2 linked regions of the Oreochromis niloticus genome follow. The protein of the gene in region 1 interacts with the protein of each later gene in a biochemical or structural test. Links are inferred from orthologs where the notes say so. Each region holds a gene or a part of one and is shown on either strand. Other genes may lie near its edges.

Evidence for each region.
Region 2: the proteins of axl (region 1) and gas6 form a complex in vitro, tested with the Homo sapiens proteins (2 studies listed by BioGRID and IntAct, with this or other methods). The link is inferred for Oreochromis niloticus from reciprocal best matches to the Homo sapiens genes AXL and GAS6.

Annotation. Positions count from the first base shown.
Region 1 is NC_031979.2:33,637,265-33,645,178, reverse strand, and holds the start of axl (tyrosine-protein kinase receptor UFO), read left to right. Parts: upstream 1-4,910; 5' UTR 4,911-5,421; coding exon 5,422-5,584; intron 5,585-7,914. Other genes in the region: uncharacterized protein LOC102077316, read right to left, coding at 1,235-1,289. UniProt on the Homo sapiens protein: Receptor tyrosine kinase that transduces signals from the extracellular matrix into the cytoplasm by binding growth factor GAS6 and which is thus regulating many physiological processes including cell survival, cell proliferation, migration and differentiation.
Region 2 is NC_031965.2:16,477,514-16,485,014, reverse strand, and holds the start of gas6 (growth arrest-specific protein 6), read left to right. Parts: upstream 1-4,497; 5' UTR 4,498-4,965; coding exon 4,966-5,041; intron 5,042-5,310; coding exon 5,311-5,471; intron 5,472-7,501. Other genes in the region: pros1 (vitamin K-dependent protein S), read left to right, coding at 1-52, 472-659. UniProt on the Homo sapiens protein: Ligand for tyrosine-protein kinase receptors AXL, TYRO3 and MER whose signaling is implicated in cell growth and survival, cell adhesion and cell migration.

The DNA.
Region 1 (7,914 bases):
TTTAATGAGCAGGTTCTTTGAGAGAAATGTTCTATTTTTGTCAGTTTCAGTGATATAATTGGATACTTATTGTAGTGACATGAACACAACTATAACAATGTCCAATAAATTGTTTGGGGGGTTTTAAGAGCACAAACAGCAGCCTCAAAATCACACTGATGAAAAATTACAACAGTCAGTTGTCGCAGCATTACTTATGAAAACAACAACAACAATACCAATAATAATACAAAAAATAATGATACCTTGTCCTTGAAACAAGGCAGATCCATAACAATCAAAAATCAATAGAAACAGCCTGAGTTAAATGTAATGCTTTTTTGTATTAAAAAGAAACCGAAATATTCAAATTTTTGGAACAATGAGTTTCCAGAGTTTTCAAGACAGGACACACACGACCGTGTTAGACTGCAGACAATAGAAGGTGAGCACATGTTGACAGACAAGATCTACTTTATTTCTCCATACAGGATTAAAGTTGAACAGGTGGATTTGCAAGCGAGCAAGAGAGGGGGGTATAGGAATTTTTCATTGATTGTTTGTTATTATGGCATTTACTATACCTTACTATACATTAATTTGACTGCAGATTTCAACCTATAGATTAATATCCCTAAATTTTAATAGTGCTATTAGTCGGCATAAGTCAAGAGAGGAAGAAAAACATTTGAAGTACCAAAATAGCTACTTAACTGTTATCAACTGTGACGCCACTCTGAAATGAAAACAAGGGCAATAAAAAACAGATGTAATATAAGTAAAGAGAGGCGCTGGCCAAGAGCCGGTTCATGACTTGGCTTGAAAATTACCATCTCGTCATTCTGTAAAAACACATCTGGGATTGATTATATCATACTGGCTGGCTCTTAGGCTGACATTGCTCATGTAAGAGTTGGATTGGTGTTCTGAGACAGTGTTGTTTTCCACCGATTGTGAAGTCAGCAGCCATATAATCTATACTGGCTTTAAATGAATAAACACTAAGAATTTATTACACCTTGGAGAAAATAAGCATGACAATCAGAAAATCTAAATTGAAGACACAGTTGGGTCATATTTGACAGCAAAGCGACTGAGATCTTCAAAAAGCATATATAGTTACTAACTTTGGCCTAATTTGCAGAATGAGCACAAAAGGATGCAGTAAACAAAATCAGATCAAAACATTCACATCAAACTTTACATGACGACTGCAGAGGGGTTACTGTGGATAAAAGGATAGAAGCAGGCCTACCATATTTTTTGAGGAAGCCTCGATGAACACCTGCTGTGCTCATGTCTGTGGTCATCACAGCAACAGGAACTGAAATGAAAGGCAGAGCACTGATGCTGAAAAATAGGGTAAGAGAAAGAGGGAGAGGGAGAAGCGGGAGAGAGAATAATCCCCACTATTTAGGCCTTCCCTCTTTAAACCCATGCTGTTGTGAGTGGAATTGGAGCCATGCCTGGTTATGCACATATAAACATCATATGAGCATAAGAGGCCCAAATAATCATAACAGCGAAGCATAAATCCCACCAAAAAGATGATTTATGATTTATACTGCAACCATTACCAGATGTCATGTTGGACACCCTCCCTGAGCAACATACACACACAAGCTTCAATTTCCAGTTCCTCATAGAAAATATGAGAGGTGCATTATGGCTTATCATTAAACTGGTAAACCTGTCAAACCTGTATCTTAGCGTATCCCTGCGCCCTTGGATGGCTTCCGAACAAGGGCTCGGATCACCTCCTGCTCAAAAAGATTAAAACAGAGGGATTATTATTCTTGCACAGCTGGAAGCCTGTTGTTGCACTGCTGTGGATAGGCCCAACCAAGATTTTAATCTGTTCAAACCTGGGATATGTGGCCCCATCCAAGTAACCACCTCTAAGATATTACATGTCTTTCATCATCATATATCCAAGTGAGATTAAATGCTATTCACTGTGACATTCTGGGTTTGCTAATCGCTGTTAGAATGACGTTATGTAACAGGAGGGATCTTAGAGAGACACTCTCATGCTTTGATGAGACCGGTCTTCAATAAATGGGTTGTAAGGTGGTGGTAGTCTGAAAGATGTGGGGGCTAAATACAGGAAGCAGATTTCAGCAAGCAATTTGAAAATAAAATGGGCAAAAATATTCACACACCTTCAATGTACATTATATATTGCACCTTTAACACCTTGAATACATGAGACTTGAATCTTTGACCTCTGGTTTAGTGATCTGCCTACAGTAATGTGTAACATACCACATGGGATCACCAACATGCCAAAGCATTTGTTTGAAGTTGTTACTGCAGCCCATGCGTGTCTCTAGGTTTTTGTTCACAGACATATCTGTCTCTGTTTAAAGTTTATGACAAGCAGAGCTATTAAGGAGTTAGTCAAAGCCAGGAGATGACATAAAATCAGATAATCCCACTGGAAATTTTATTTTCCCATCAGACAGATCAGTCCTCCTTTTGAACTCTATGTGTGACAGAAAAACAGGATCTTACACTGTAGCACATAGATGTCATTTGCTTTGCTGTCTGTTGCTATTTCAGTGTTCCTATTACTGGCTAATATCACCAGTGAGATGAACACAAAACAGCACAAAGCTCTCATTGCAAGGTTTAATCTTGCTGCACACCTCTCAGAGCAAAGAACAAACATGAAGTAATAATATCTGGTGTTTTTGGCCCGGTTTAGTCAACTTTAAAATAAAAAATGATATCAGTACTGATAGAAGAATATTGATTACATTGTGCTTTCAAATTATTTGGGAGTGTAGAAAAAATCATCATATCAAGTATTGAGTATAAAATCTTTTACACTCTATGGCTGAAGTAAGCTTTCACCTTCTGCTTTTTGCTGAGTCCGTCTGTCTTCAGTCTGATCGAATGCAGCTCAATTTGATTTAAATCAGGGGATTGACTCTACTATTTGAGGACATCGCCTTTTCACCCTGTTATGCTTTTGTGTTGTTTTTGCACTATGTTAGGCATTGCTGCCCCGCTCAAATGAAATGTTTTCCCAATAGGTTTTGTACATTTGGCTGAATCTGAGCTCACACAACAATCTTGTATAGCTCAGATTTATCAGCAAATGTCGGTGTTAGATCCATTGGCGGCTATACTCAAGTCATAACAAAAACACCAATGGGTTTGACCGATGAGGAGGTCAGTTTGGGTCAGGAGCCTAAACTAACCACCTTTAAATGATCAGTCTTCAGTTAGGTTTGTTCAGAGAGTTTCTCAGGACTGATTGTTCTTCCATGATTTCAGTTGCAGTTTGAACAATGTCCCCAGCAGGGGGCATAAGAGACTTCAACTTCAGGCAGTCAGTCACTACAGTTTATTTTAATGAATCATCAGGGTTCAATGGAGCAGTTTGGCTGTCAAGTCTGCAGTAAGGAGAAGGGGAAAAAAGGGCCCTCGGCTCATTATCAGCACCACCGGGGGGATGTGTAGCTGGGAGAGTAGCAGGAAGGTGTTTCTCATGTCTTCCAGCCAATAGACACTCTTCTTTCAGACAGGTTGTTTTGTTAATAAGCATTTGAGATTATCAGGGAAATGAGCTCAGCAGTAGCCTACTACTCTGTGAGTAGCTGGGGCCCATATAGTTTGTTTTATAACCTAGACCATTCGCTTTTAATTCTGTTAATCCACTTGAGCTTCGTGTAAAAGTCTTTAAATCTTTGGGTCTTGGTGTGTGATGAATCAGGTTTCCTGGATTTTAGCGTGACTTGAACCTAAACACTCCTTGATGCCCCTCCCCCTTTAAACCCAAACATTCACTCCTTCCAGGTCCAACTAGCCCCGAAACTTTGTGTTTTGGAGTTGAACGCCCCGCTTTCTTATGCAGGACCACCCTCTGCGACCCTCTTCCCTCCCTCCACTCTGTGCTTCTATCGGGGAGCAGTGAGAGCACCATTGCTCAAGCCCCGATTGAAAGGAGAGAATATACAATGGGGTCTTTCTCAGTGGCTCTCTGTCTCCATTAAAAACCCTGGGAACACAACACTGTCCGCAGAGCTACTCTTAAAGGGGCAGTCGGACTGAGTTCTTCGCAACCTGAGTTCCAGCCCCTCTCATTGTTTTCAGTGAAGAAAAAAAACAGAAATATACACAGCAAATCAATTCATTCATGAATGATATGTGAACCCTGCAGGGACTTCTCTCACGCAGCAAGAAGCATTTCCTCACGCACACACAGAACACACTTCAGACATCGCGATCTACAACAGTAACTTAGATGTGAATCAAGGAAAGTTATTTAGACTACAGCTGAGAGTCCTTCAAATTGTTATGACTGAATCCGGATTTTCAAACAAATTCCCAGACATCGTGATGGTGGCTCTGTTTGTGTACAATGGAGTAAATGCAAACAAAAATAGTTTGAATATTTTTCTGTGCATTTTTGCTGACATCCCGTTTGCTTTTGACTGGTTGGAATAACAAATCGACATATTCAAATGTTTTAAACAGCAGCAAGATAATGAAGAATTAATAACAAATCCCGCTAAACCTGGATATGGTGTTTTAATAGTAGTACTTTTAAACATTTATATGTTTTAATTATTGTAAAACAGTATACAGAAAAACAATAGATGTGGATAAGCAATCAACTTTGACAGCGGGATAAAAAATATATTTTTCTTAGGAAAAAAAGAAAAAAGTTTATTATTAAAAAGCCAGGTCTGTAACATTATATATATGTACATGATGCTGTCATGTTACACACACTGAAATGCACAGGCTTGTGTTTGAAACAGTGTTTCAAGCGCGAAACTGTTGATTTACGGAGACATTTACAACTTCAGGGCATCACTGTGTAATTAAAAAGCGAATGGGAGATTGGGCCGAGACAATCAGCATGCCGCAGAGTTTCTCACATCCTTTGAGAAAAGGAGGGAGACTGTGGAGAAGGAGGAGGATGAGGAGGAGGGTGGAAAGAACTTGAGTTGAGGAATTTGAATCGTGTTTGAAAGGGGGAGAGGGATAAGAAAGCCAGGGGAATGTCTGGAGTCGCAGGGAACCTGTGGGCAGGATAGAGACTTTGGACAACCGGCTACAGGAAAGACTGGTTTAAAAATACGCTCTTGGTCGCTAGAAATAGACTCTTGTTTGGACAAGGAAAGTTTAGAGCGTCGTTTGCTGTGCGCTTTTTCACGGTAGATGAAAGTTTTTGATGGAGACAGCCCTGCTCCGTTTGAAACCAACCAAAGCAACAGCATAAGGGAAACTCAAGAGTTTGTGGCAATTCAGAGATTTTTTTTAACCGCAGGTTTCTTAAAATGGGGAACTGAAACGCGAGGATTCGCTTTGATTGGGTCTTGATTTGTGGATACTCACCATTTTCAGTACCTGCCAAGTCAGAGAAATTTTTTCTTTTTCTTTAGAGCAAAACACAACTTTGAATCTCTGAGCTGCTGCGATGCGGTAATGGAGTCTGGTGATGTTTCCAGGATGACTCTTCTCCTCATGAAGCTCTTTTTCCGAGGTCATTTGTTTTCGAGAGAAAGTATGAATTTGTCTACATGGTCGTTTGTGATTCTCACCGTCATGTTTTCGGTTTGGATACCAACATCTGCAGATTCGCTGACAGGTAAGGTTTAACTGAAACGGGGGCGGCTTTTTTTATTTACCCAATATGCCTGTTAGTTGTTACCTTGTGTGCAGGGGGAAACATCGTAAAGAGCAATTAGCACAGTCAGCTCTCTGCCTTGTTAACTCAATTTGCTTTTGGCTAACCACAGCTGCAGGGGCGTTCAACATCTGGCCAACATAAAAAAAAAAAAGTTATCAAAAGCAAGTGAAGGATTGATATTATTGTACACTATTATTATATTACAATACAATCAAACTAAGTGAGGGGGAGTTTTACCTGACAGGTAACAACCAGTAACACTAACTGCTCAAGGGCAATGTTTCTGAGATCAGGTGATCAATGTTTATTCATGCTGGGAGTTCATGCGAACAAGATTTGGAATGTGATAGATGTACTGAAACAAGTGAAAGGTGGGCATTTAATGTAAATATGCTGAGACATGGGTGAATCATAATCAACAAAGAGAATGTTTGCTGAACGCCAAGATAGAAAGATGAAAGCCAAATTTTCGATTTCTTAAGAAAATAGTCTTTCTACACTATACAGAATCATTTCAAAAGTATGTTAACTATCTTTTAAAACGAACTTTACTGACAAAAAACATGACTGTTTGGGAACTTTTAATTGAACCCAGTCGATGAAAACAGTATGCCTACAGGGACCTCCACCTGTCAGCTTATATGTTTTGACCATTGTGGTCACTCTGTCTCTTGGGCAGCTGACCTCAGTATATGTATGACTAGCAGGCAGGGAGATTACTAGACACCGACGTGAAGAATGGAGAATTTTATTCGGATGTCTCAGTTCCTATTTGGATGTGAGGATGTGAAGGATGAGGAGGGGTTCAGGGGGCCAAATGCTTTGGTTTGTGAGTCAGAGCTTGTCTGACTCAGACTCCAATCCAATGATGGATGGGGTACGAGGGCAAGAGTAGAGAGTTTGGAGGGGAGGTGGCAAAATGTGTAGTGATGAATCCAATGAATGGCATGAAAAGGAGAAAGGGCAAAGGCACGGCAGTGAATGGATTCCACACTGTTAAAAATGCAGGAGGATAAAGCAGGGAGTGAGAGGAGGATAAATGCTTAAGACTGTGTCAGACATTTTTGGTATGCGCACAACCAATGACATTTAACATCTGAGCATTCTCACAGAGTGGAGAGTAGGAGTAGAGGCAGGGTGGAAAGAAAAGATCAGGGAAAAAGTGGGGGACCTGAAGGGAATTCGGGGAACAATAGGGAGGTGATGAAATAGTTAGGCACCAATGAATCAGTGGAGACAGGCCACACACAAACAGAGACACACAGTTTGTCTGTAGCCTCCTCTCTCTGTCTGTCTGCAATCTTGTCAAATGTTTACAAGGTTATTATTATATGAACTCAGCAAAAAAGATACAGAGAAAGAAAATGGGGCTATTTCGGTTCAATGCACTGGAGGGGGAGGGGGGCAAAGCCAGGGTCATGTAGAATATTGAAAGAGCTCAGCCAAGCTTAAAAATAAAGGGATGAATGACTTTTAATGCCAGAAAACACACACAGACAAAGAGGTGGGGAAGCACACACTCTGTCGAGACATGTTATAGTTAAGAGTAAAATAAGTCCTGCAAAAAGGTGCATTTTAAATCTGTTTTTGGTTGTTGAATTATGGGCATTTATGTGTGTTATAATGAGATGGGTCTTTGGGGTCTTTGTAAAGGGTCAAAGGTTGAAAGGTGACCATGAAACAGACTAGGAGGGTGTGTTGACAAGCTTGAGAAAATCTTGCTTTTTCATTCTTGCTCTGAAAACCAAGTTTGCTCTTCTTCAAATGATTTATGTTTTCTTTATCTACAAGGAGTTGCCTTGGCTTGGTTGGTTGAGTGGATGCTTTGCATTTTTATGTGATGCTGCGAAAGAAAGAAAAGAATTCTTGTATCACAAATCTGTGCACATCTTATGTGCAATTGCCAGGTCCATGGTTTAAAGAAAATCTGGGTTTTTAAGTTACGTATTCCAATTCATTATCATTGAAAGTTTCAAAAGGTAAAAAAAAAAGAATGATCCACCGTTTTCAACATTTTTCTGACATCAGACATCTATAGGCTGCAGGTCTGTGAATACTGTTATGGAGAAGCTGTGATTATAATTACGTTTAGTTTGTGTTGGGCTCTCTGTTCTCAGACATTGTTTAAGCAACATGGGCAACCTTCCTCTAACAAGAAGCCTTTGTCTCAGTATCAGTGCTGTCCTTCTCAGGTCAGCCTCACTATCAGTAGGAGCACGAGATAACCAGAGTCTTTCAAAAGCTCGGGTTATCATATCCTGGCAACTGCAAAAGTAAGTCTGTCACAA
Region 2 (7,501 bases), on another chromosome or scaffold:
CTCAACAGCACCATGCAAAACCCCGTCAGCACATACATTGGTGGAATACCCGGTTAGTAATGATTAAGAACTTTAAGCATAAATTATCATTGATGTGTGATCAAAATGAATAAAGTGTTTTGCAATTTTCTTGGTTTCTCTTGAATGTGTTGCTCTTCCTGCTGGATCTGTGAGCCTTGGTTGAACAGTGGTGCTTTGAGCTGCTAATGCTAATATCCACATGTTGCCATAGTCACAGTGACAATGGTGACGGCACGCTGAAGCTTAGCAGGAGGTGTTTACTGTTTTTCATGTTTCATGATTAGCACTAAGCAGAGCTGAGAATGAAAGGAATCAGAAAACCTTTAACTAGATGACTGCACTAGATTAAGAGCACCAAAACAAGGACTCATTCATATTGAAAGTAACATGAACAATGATACATAGTGTCATAACAACCCATCAAACAGTTACCGTCTCTCTCTCCTTCAGAAGACATCCCTTTGCCTACCACCCCTGTGACGGCCTTTTACCACGGCTGCATGGAGATCAGTATCAACGGCCAGCAGCTGGACTTCGATGAAGCTCTCAGCAAACATAACAGCATCAAGTCCCACTCGTGTCCTCCTGTCACTACCTCGGATGATGACCGAGAGGTGACACACATGTACAGAAAGTGACCCGATTTAAAAAAGCACATTGCATTAAAAAGCTCTTAAATTAGGCAGAGTCCCACAGGGGAAACTTCTTGGGATATTTTGGAAAGAGAATCTAGAGAGGAGGAGAAGAAGAGACGGAGGCAGAGAGTGATTTTAAGCTTTTCATCTCTACAGTGTTCTTGTTTGTACCCTGACCTATTTTGTTCTGGTATTGCTTTAGTGAGTCACAACAAAGGCTGGCTTACCAGTGAGGTAGCCGGAAGCTGGATGACATAGGTGTAGCAGTTTTTGTCTGCATTAAGTTGTTTTCCAGGAAAGTGGAAACAAAAAGGAGCTGAGCTCTGCAGCGTGCATGCCATGAGTTGAGTAACAGATGGTTATGTTTGTGTAGAAAAATAAACAAATGGTCACTGCTGACCAGACTGCGAGACCACCTGCATCTTCGTCCCTGCTGCTGCTGAATCATGGTACTCTCTCTAAATTGTTTAAAAACAACTAGTTGAAATTAATGTTTGTGGCAGGAGAAACCACAGAGGAGATATCTGAGCCTTCAGGCGTTCCTATCAAATTCTGTTTCATCTCCTTTGTTTAAATCACCATCTGGAGCTCTGCATTTCCGAAGCGTTGCTTCAATTTACCACTCTTGTCATCAGAGGTGTACACCAGTCATAATTACAGCATTTATTGTTCTCCTGTTTCTGTCCTTATCTTAAGGGCTCTCCTGGTTGTCATTTGTTTCCACTTTGTATATAAAACATGCCATCTTTAATATATAACTTAAATGTAGTTGTTTGGTGTTGTGTTTGATGTTTGTTTTAATAAAACTGTATCAAAGCAACCTTATTATTGGATTCCAGCCCTGCTTTGTTTTGGTCTCTCGCCGCTGCACAAAACAAGGTCAGAGACTGGGAACAGATTCAGAATTTAGTTTCATGATTCAAAATGTGTCATGATTATATCAGTGTCTTGGTGAGTTTTCTCATGTTCAGCAGAAAAACCTTGAACCCATACTTCCCAGCACTGCATCCGCCCAAGTACTTGGTGACACAACAAACTCATAAATCTGCCATTTACAAAACACAGTTTGGAGGTGTTTTCACATCAAGTGATGTGCTTTTTAATTTTCTGCAAAGCCCACTGTTGCGCAGATAAGAACCAGGCAAAACAGGACAAATGTGGACTGAAATCTAAAGAAATTACTGAAAAACATGTTGCACAACTTCCAGAGTAAACGAAACAAGTGCTGTTACTTTGCAAAGGACTGGGATAAAAATAAACTTCCCTGAAAATGAAAGTAAAAGTGGGCATAAGACTATTGAAAAATACTCAGTTACAAGAAACTGTTGAACTTTGAACACTGTAAACAAGTATCCAAGCCCTGTATACTCAACAGAAGACTAAACACACATTATCCATGCAGCTGAATGGCTCCTTGTGTAGCTGTATCATTATGTGTACCATAAATTGGTATTTAAGCACTTAATGTCATTTCACTACTTTAAATGCTGTTTAGTAGCTAAATCTATAACAAAGAACATATTGTATAAGTAAATGCTATGACCAATGCTGAACTATCAGTTGTTTTTCTACTGTGAAATCTGCAAAGCTGTTCAAATGATGGACTATACTTGGGGGGTATGTGTATTTTATTTACATTTTTGTTCCTTTATAGCTACTCCACTACTTCCTAGCTTGACTAATCAGTATTTCACACACCCTATAATGCCTACAAAAAAACAATACCGTAAGTGGTAAGTTTTAAGATACTTGGAATCAATTAGTAGCTTAAGTAGGGGCATTTCCAGGACTTCTTTACATGGAGAGACACAGGGGAGACCAAGAAAAGGGAGGGAAGGGCCTCCATGAAGTCTGGATATTCAATCAGAAGGAAAATCAGTGTAGAAATCTGGTATAAAAAATACTGGGGAGAATTTTTAGACTCATGTGGAGCCCTGTGTCCTATTACAAATTTATCATGTGAAAAGTGGTGCTATAAATAATTTTTAACATCATTTTGTGTTGAATGATTGTTTTGCAAAGTTGGGAAAAAAACAACTTTTTGTTTAAGTAAAAGTTATAATCATGATTAAAAAAACCTGACTGACCGGGCCAATATATCTGATTAAAATATGTTTTAAATTAATTTTAAAGTAATTAAAATAAACACATGTACACATACTATTATACTCTTAATTATTTATATATTACTAGGTAGCTTTATCTATAATAATAGAGTTTATAATAATTATTATTATTATTATTATAATAACAACAATTATAATTATAATAATTAAAGTAACAAAAGCTTTGAAAATAAATAGTACTGAGAATTAAAAAAAAAAAAAAGTACAATCACATTAAACTTGTACTTATAGTAAAGCCTACAGTAAAGTAAAATACTGTCAGATTCATACTGGTTTTACTCCTGGTCTCCTTCAGTGTTGTTGGGCACTCTTAAGACTAACAGCTCCAGTTAAAGTTAGAAGTCAGAATTTCAAACTTTCAATTGGAATGCCCCTTCAAGATGGATTTCCAGTTTGGAAAGTCGGAGCAGCCCCACCAACCTTGAATTCACAATCCAAGATTATGGCAATGCGCATAAACGTTAAAATGTAAAACTTGAAATTTGTATTGCCATGGTTTTTTCCCCATTGTGTTTGTGACTCGCTAAAAAAGGCATATGCAGTCCGCTGACCAGGCTCTGTTCATGAATGTGCTGCAGTCGTGTTTTTGAACACACACACAAAAAAATCCAAGCATTGTGCTGTACTGCTTGCGATGCACAAATAGGTCTACCTTGCGAAGAAGAAAACCAAATCATGTTTTTTTCTTGCTTTTCTGACTTTAGTAATGGAACACGCTCAACTTAGGAGTGACATCATTCCTGCTTCTGACATGTGACATAGTGAAACATTTGCGATAACTGGCAATGAGTATTTTACACCACTGTGGAGAAATTATGGCCCACTCTTATTTGCTGAATTGTTTTAATTCAGCCACACTGGAGGGGTTTCCAGCATGGATTGCTTGTTCAAGACTTTAGTTTGTTCCAAAAAGTTCAGTTTTTTCAATAAGCAAATAGGCTTGGCTAGTGAAACTGAACTCAGCTTTTCAGAAAATGTGGTTACTCATCGTTAATTCATGTTGATTTAACAGGCAAATATGACAAATATGCAAAAAAGAAAAAAGAAATCAGGAAGGGGAAAATACGTTTTCACAGCTCTTCAAAGTTTTTATCATTAACTAAAACTAAACTAAAAACTAAAATAAAATGTGAAAAAAATTAAAATTAAAATGAAAAACTAGACTTGAAATATAAATATAAAAGACGTATGATTTGTTTTAATATTTGTTGGTTTTTTCTCAATTTTATTATAACTTGCCTGGCAAGACACCGAGGAAAATGTTTATTGAGACTTTGGTTGTCTAAAATACTAAGTAAACTGCTTTCAAGAAGTTCTGTGTTTTTATTGTAACAATTGCACTGATTTACTTTTTAATTTTTTAAAAGTAACAGAAAAACTAATTAAAACTATAAACTAAAACTAAACATTTCCAAACAATAATAGTTAAGCTGAAATAAGAAAATCCACTTTGGAGATTAAACTGAATTAAAAAGAAAAAGTCAAAATGGGGGGAAAAAATAAGAATTAGCATAGTCTGTGCCACCTCATGCCCCCCTTTGGTTATGCCCCTGGACTAACGTTTAAAATACTTTTGAAGCCATTGCAAAGTACTCGAGTATTGTTTACTTTAATAGAAGTATTTACTTACTAACCACAAGTGCAACACCCAAATCACGGATTGCGTGCCAGTTAAACAGATTTTTTTTCCCCCAGTGTGATGCGCGCGCACACACACGCACACAGGCGAACACACACAGAGGAGGGAGGGATGAAGAGGTGTCTGCATCACTTCAAACTCCTGCCTGCACTTCTCAGAGAGCTACTCCTCCTCCTGAAGCAGAGACGAGCAGTGTTCCTCCGCAGACTGTCCGGTCCGCAAACGGCTAAGTTTGGTCCCACACACCGCGATGGGGACCAGCTGAACCGCACGCGAGGGGGGTAGAAGAGGTCGGTCGTGCAGTTTCCCCGTGTAGTAGTAGTGAGCGTCCTGGAGGAGGAGGAGGAGGGGGACACAGACACACAAGCGCGCGCGACGTTCGTGTCCTATCGTAGACGGTAACGGCCAACGGTCGGAGCTAGTCACCTGAATACCTGCGGCGTTTCGCACCGACGCCTGCGCTTACACCGAGAGAGGCTGAGGAGGGGGTGGGACGGGGCAGGAGAAAGTTTCTCGAGCTTGGCGCAAACACAGCGGTCAAACAATGCGGCTGACCCCGACAAAGTCCTTTTCATCGGCAGCGCTGCTAATCCTGCTGCTCGTCCGCTGGTCCGACAGCAGTAAGTAAACAGTTACATGCTAGGCGGCTAGCTAGCCCGCTAAACCCTCTTTGACATTTGAGTTGCAGCTGGTGATGATACACGTCTCGGTTATTGCCAGTACTGACGGTTAACGTTAGATATTTCGCAACATCCCTCACACTGTTTTCCTGCGCCAGTGTATTGCTTAACCGCAGAGTTGATTGACATTCACTTGCTCTTCTTTTTTTTTTTTTTTAAAGGTGACTAAACTTTGCCCGTTTTGCTCTCTTTTGCCCTTCCTTCTTTAGTCTCACTGTCCCCTCAAGAGGCGAACCAGTTTCTGAGCAGACACAAGAGGGCGAATCAAGTCTTCGAGGAGACGAAGCAAGGACACTTGGAGAGGGAGTGCGTGGAGGAAAAGTGCAGCAAGGAGGAGGCCAGAGAAGTGTTTGAAAACGACCCGGAGACGGTGAGTGGTGTGTTCACAAGTTAGTCTCAGCTGTAGCTCAGAAAAGGCTGCATGCAAGCAAAGGCGGGCTTCCTTCTCATCCTGTGAGGAGGTACTGCAGTACCACCAACTCCATCAGAGCACAATTACCAGCTGAGGTTGTGTTATGTACTGTAACTTCTGGGAGGCTGGGTGTTTACATCATGTTCATAATGACTACACTCACACTAATGATTCATTGTCTGGGCTGCTTGCCGCTAGTATTCATGCTTCAATAAGTCCAGCATGCTGATAGCTGTCAGGACACATAATATTCCCATGTCTGGGACTTGGCCGCTTTCTGCATCTTTTGTTTTGTTTCTGTGACAGACACTGAGTCAGCATGACTCTACTGTCATTTGTGAAATCCCTTTTTTATATATATATATATATATATATATATATATATATATATATATATATATATATATATATATATCTCCAATCTCCTCTTCATATTGACATGTGTCCTTAAGTTGATAACAAATATGGGATGTAGCTGGATGTCTTTCTGTTTCTTTTTCTCATCGTGTTGCATCTTCTGATGTTACACATGCACACTTTTGCTCATGCATTTCATTCAACATTACTGTGTACGTTGCCCCGCTAATCTGAAGACACGTTTCCTACTTGACATTTAACATTGTACAAAATCCATCACACGGGCCATGCTCAGAAACCTGTACTGGAGATTAGTTTCCATTCTGCATTCATGAGTGTACACGTCAGCCTTTCCATCCATGTGAATTCATAAGCCTATTTTATATGTACTACAGTGTGCTGTATGTGCAAACAGGCTATAAATAATCCAAAGTGTTTAGTAAAACACATGGAACTTGGGCTTCTTGGCCTTCCTCAGGAAGATGATATGTGTTACAGCAAATAATAGTGCAGATGCCTGCCCAGAATCTTCTGCAACAAGTCTACCCTAACTTGGGTGGATGCTTTTGATTGTGAACTCTGTAATTTTTCTTAATTTCTACATCTGACATTCATATTCAACGGTTTTAAGTGGTGGACTTGTGTTGGTGATGTGCTGCCCTTTAAATGTCACATTCACTCCTTAAGATTTGATATTGTGAATTGTAGCAGAGAGGGAGCGAATGAGGCAATCGATGACTTAAGATTACTTGTAAGATTAGTCTGGCGGTGAGGGAGGAAGGATTAAACTGAAGCTGAGGTGGATTCTGGTAAAAAGGGTGAAGTCGGGTGATGTCTGAATCAGATCCACGCATGCCACCGGCAGAACACCAAAGTACTCCTGTAAGTTTTGAACCTTGTCGTGACACAAAGCTGCAGTCTCACTCGTATCTGCATTATTCATCCTGAAAGGGCCTGTCTCTGACTCTGCATTTTATTCTGCTGCAGCTTTGTGGCTCTGCAGAGAGGGAAAGAGAGAGAGGCTGGGGTGTTCCCAGTGCTTATGATCATCCTTGGCATGGACAGTCATACCAAGTTTCTGGTCTCTTATTTATTTGATGACATACAAATGAGAAGAAGGTGTCAAAACTAACTTGCTCAGTGTGAGGTTCAAATGTAGTCGTTTTGGTTAACCTTTGAAGGTCAGCTTCCATTTTAGATCAGTGTATAATCAGCCTTTACCCCACACAGAATTTTGCCTGATTAGTTTCACTTAATAAGACACCGGTTTCACGCAAGCCTGCTGCATCTGGCATCTACTGCAGCATGAGTGTGACTCTGTGCCTCCAGAGTCTCAGATTTTGGCCTACATGTGGAGAAGTGCTGCAGCCAGAAAGCAGGAGGGATGGTACTACTACCAGGAATGCAGAGAATGCTGAAGAAGCTCCTGTCATAGAGCTGCACCCTGTTAGAGCAGATTACAGAGTAATCATAGCCTAATCTCTGCATCGCACTGCCACATTTCATGATTGTTTATGAACTGTTTTTCCTGCAGAAGTGGGCTATAAAAAAACTCCAAAAACAAATGCACAATTAAGTCAAGTATAAGAAGAAACCTGTTACTAATTTTAAGAGTTCATTGAAACTGTATT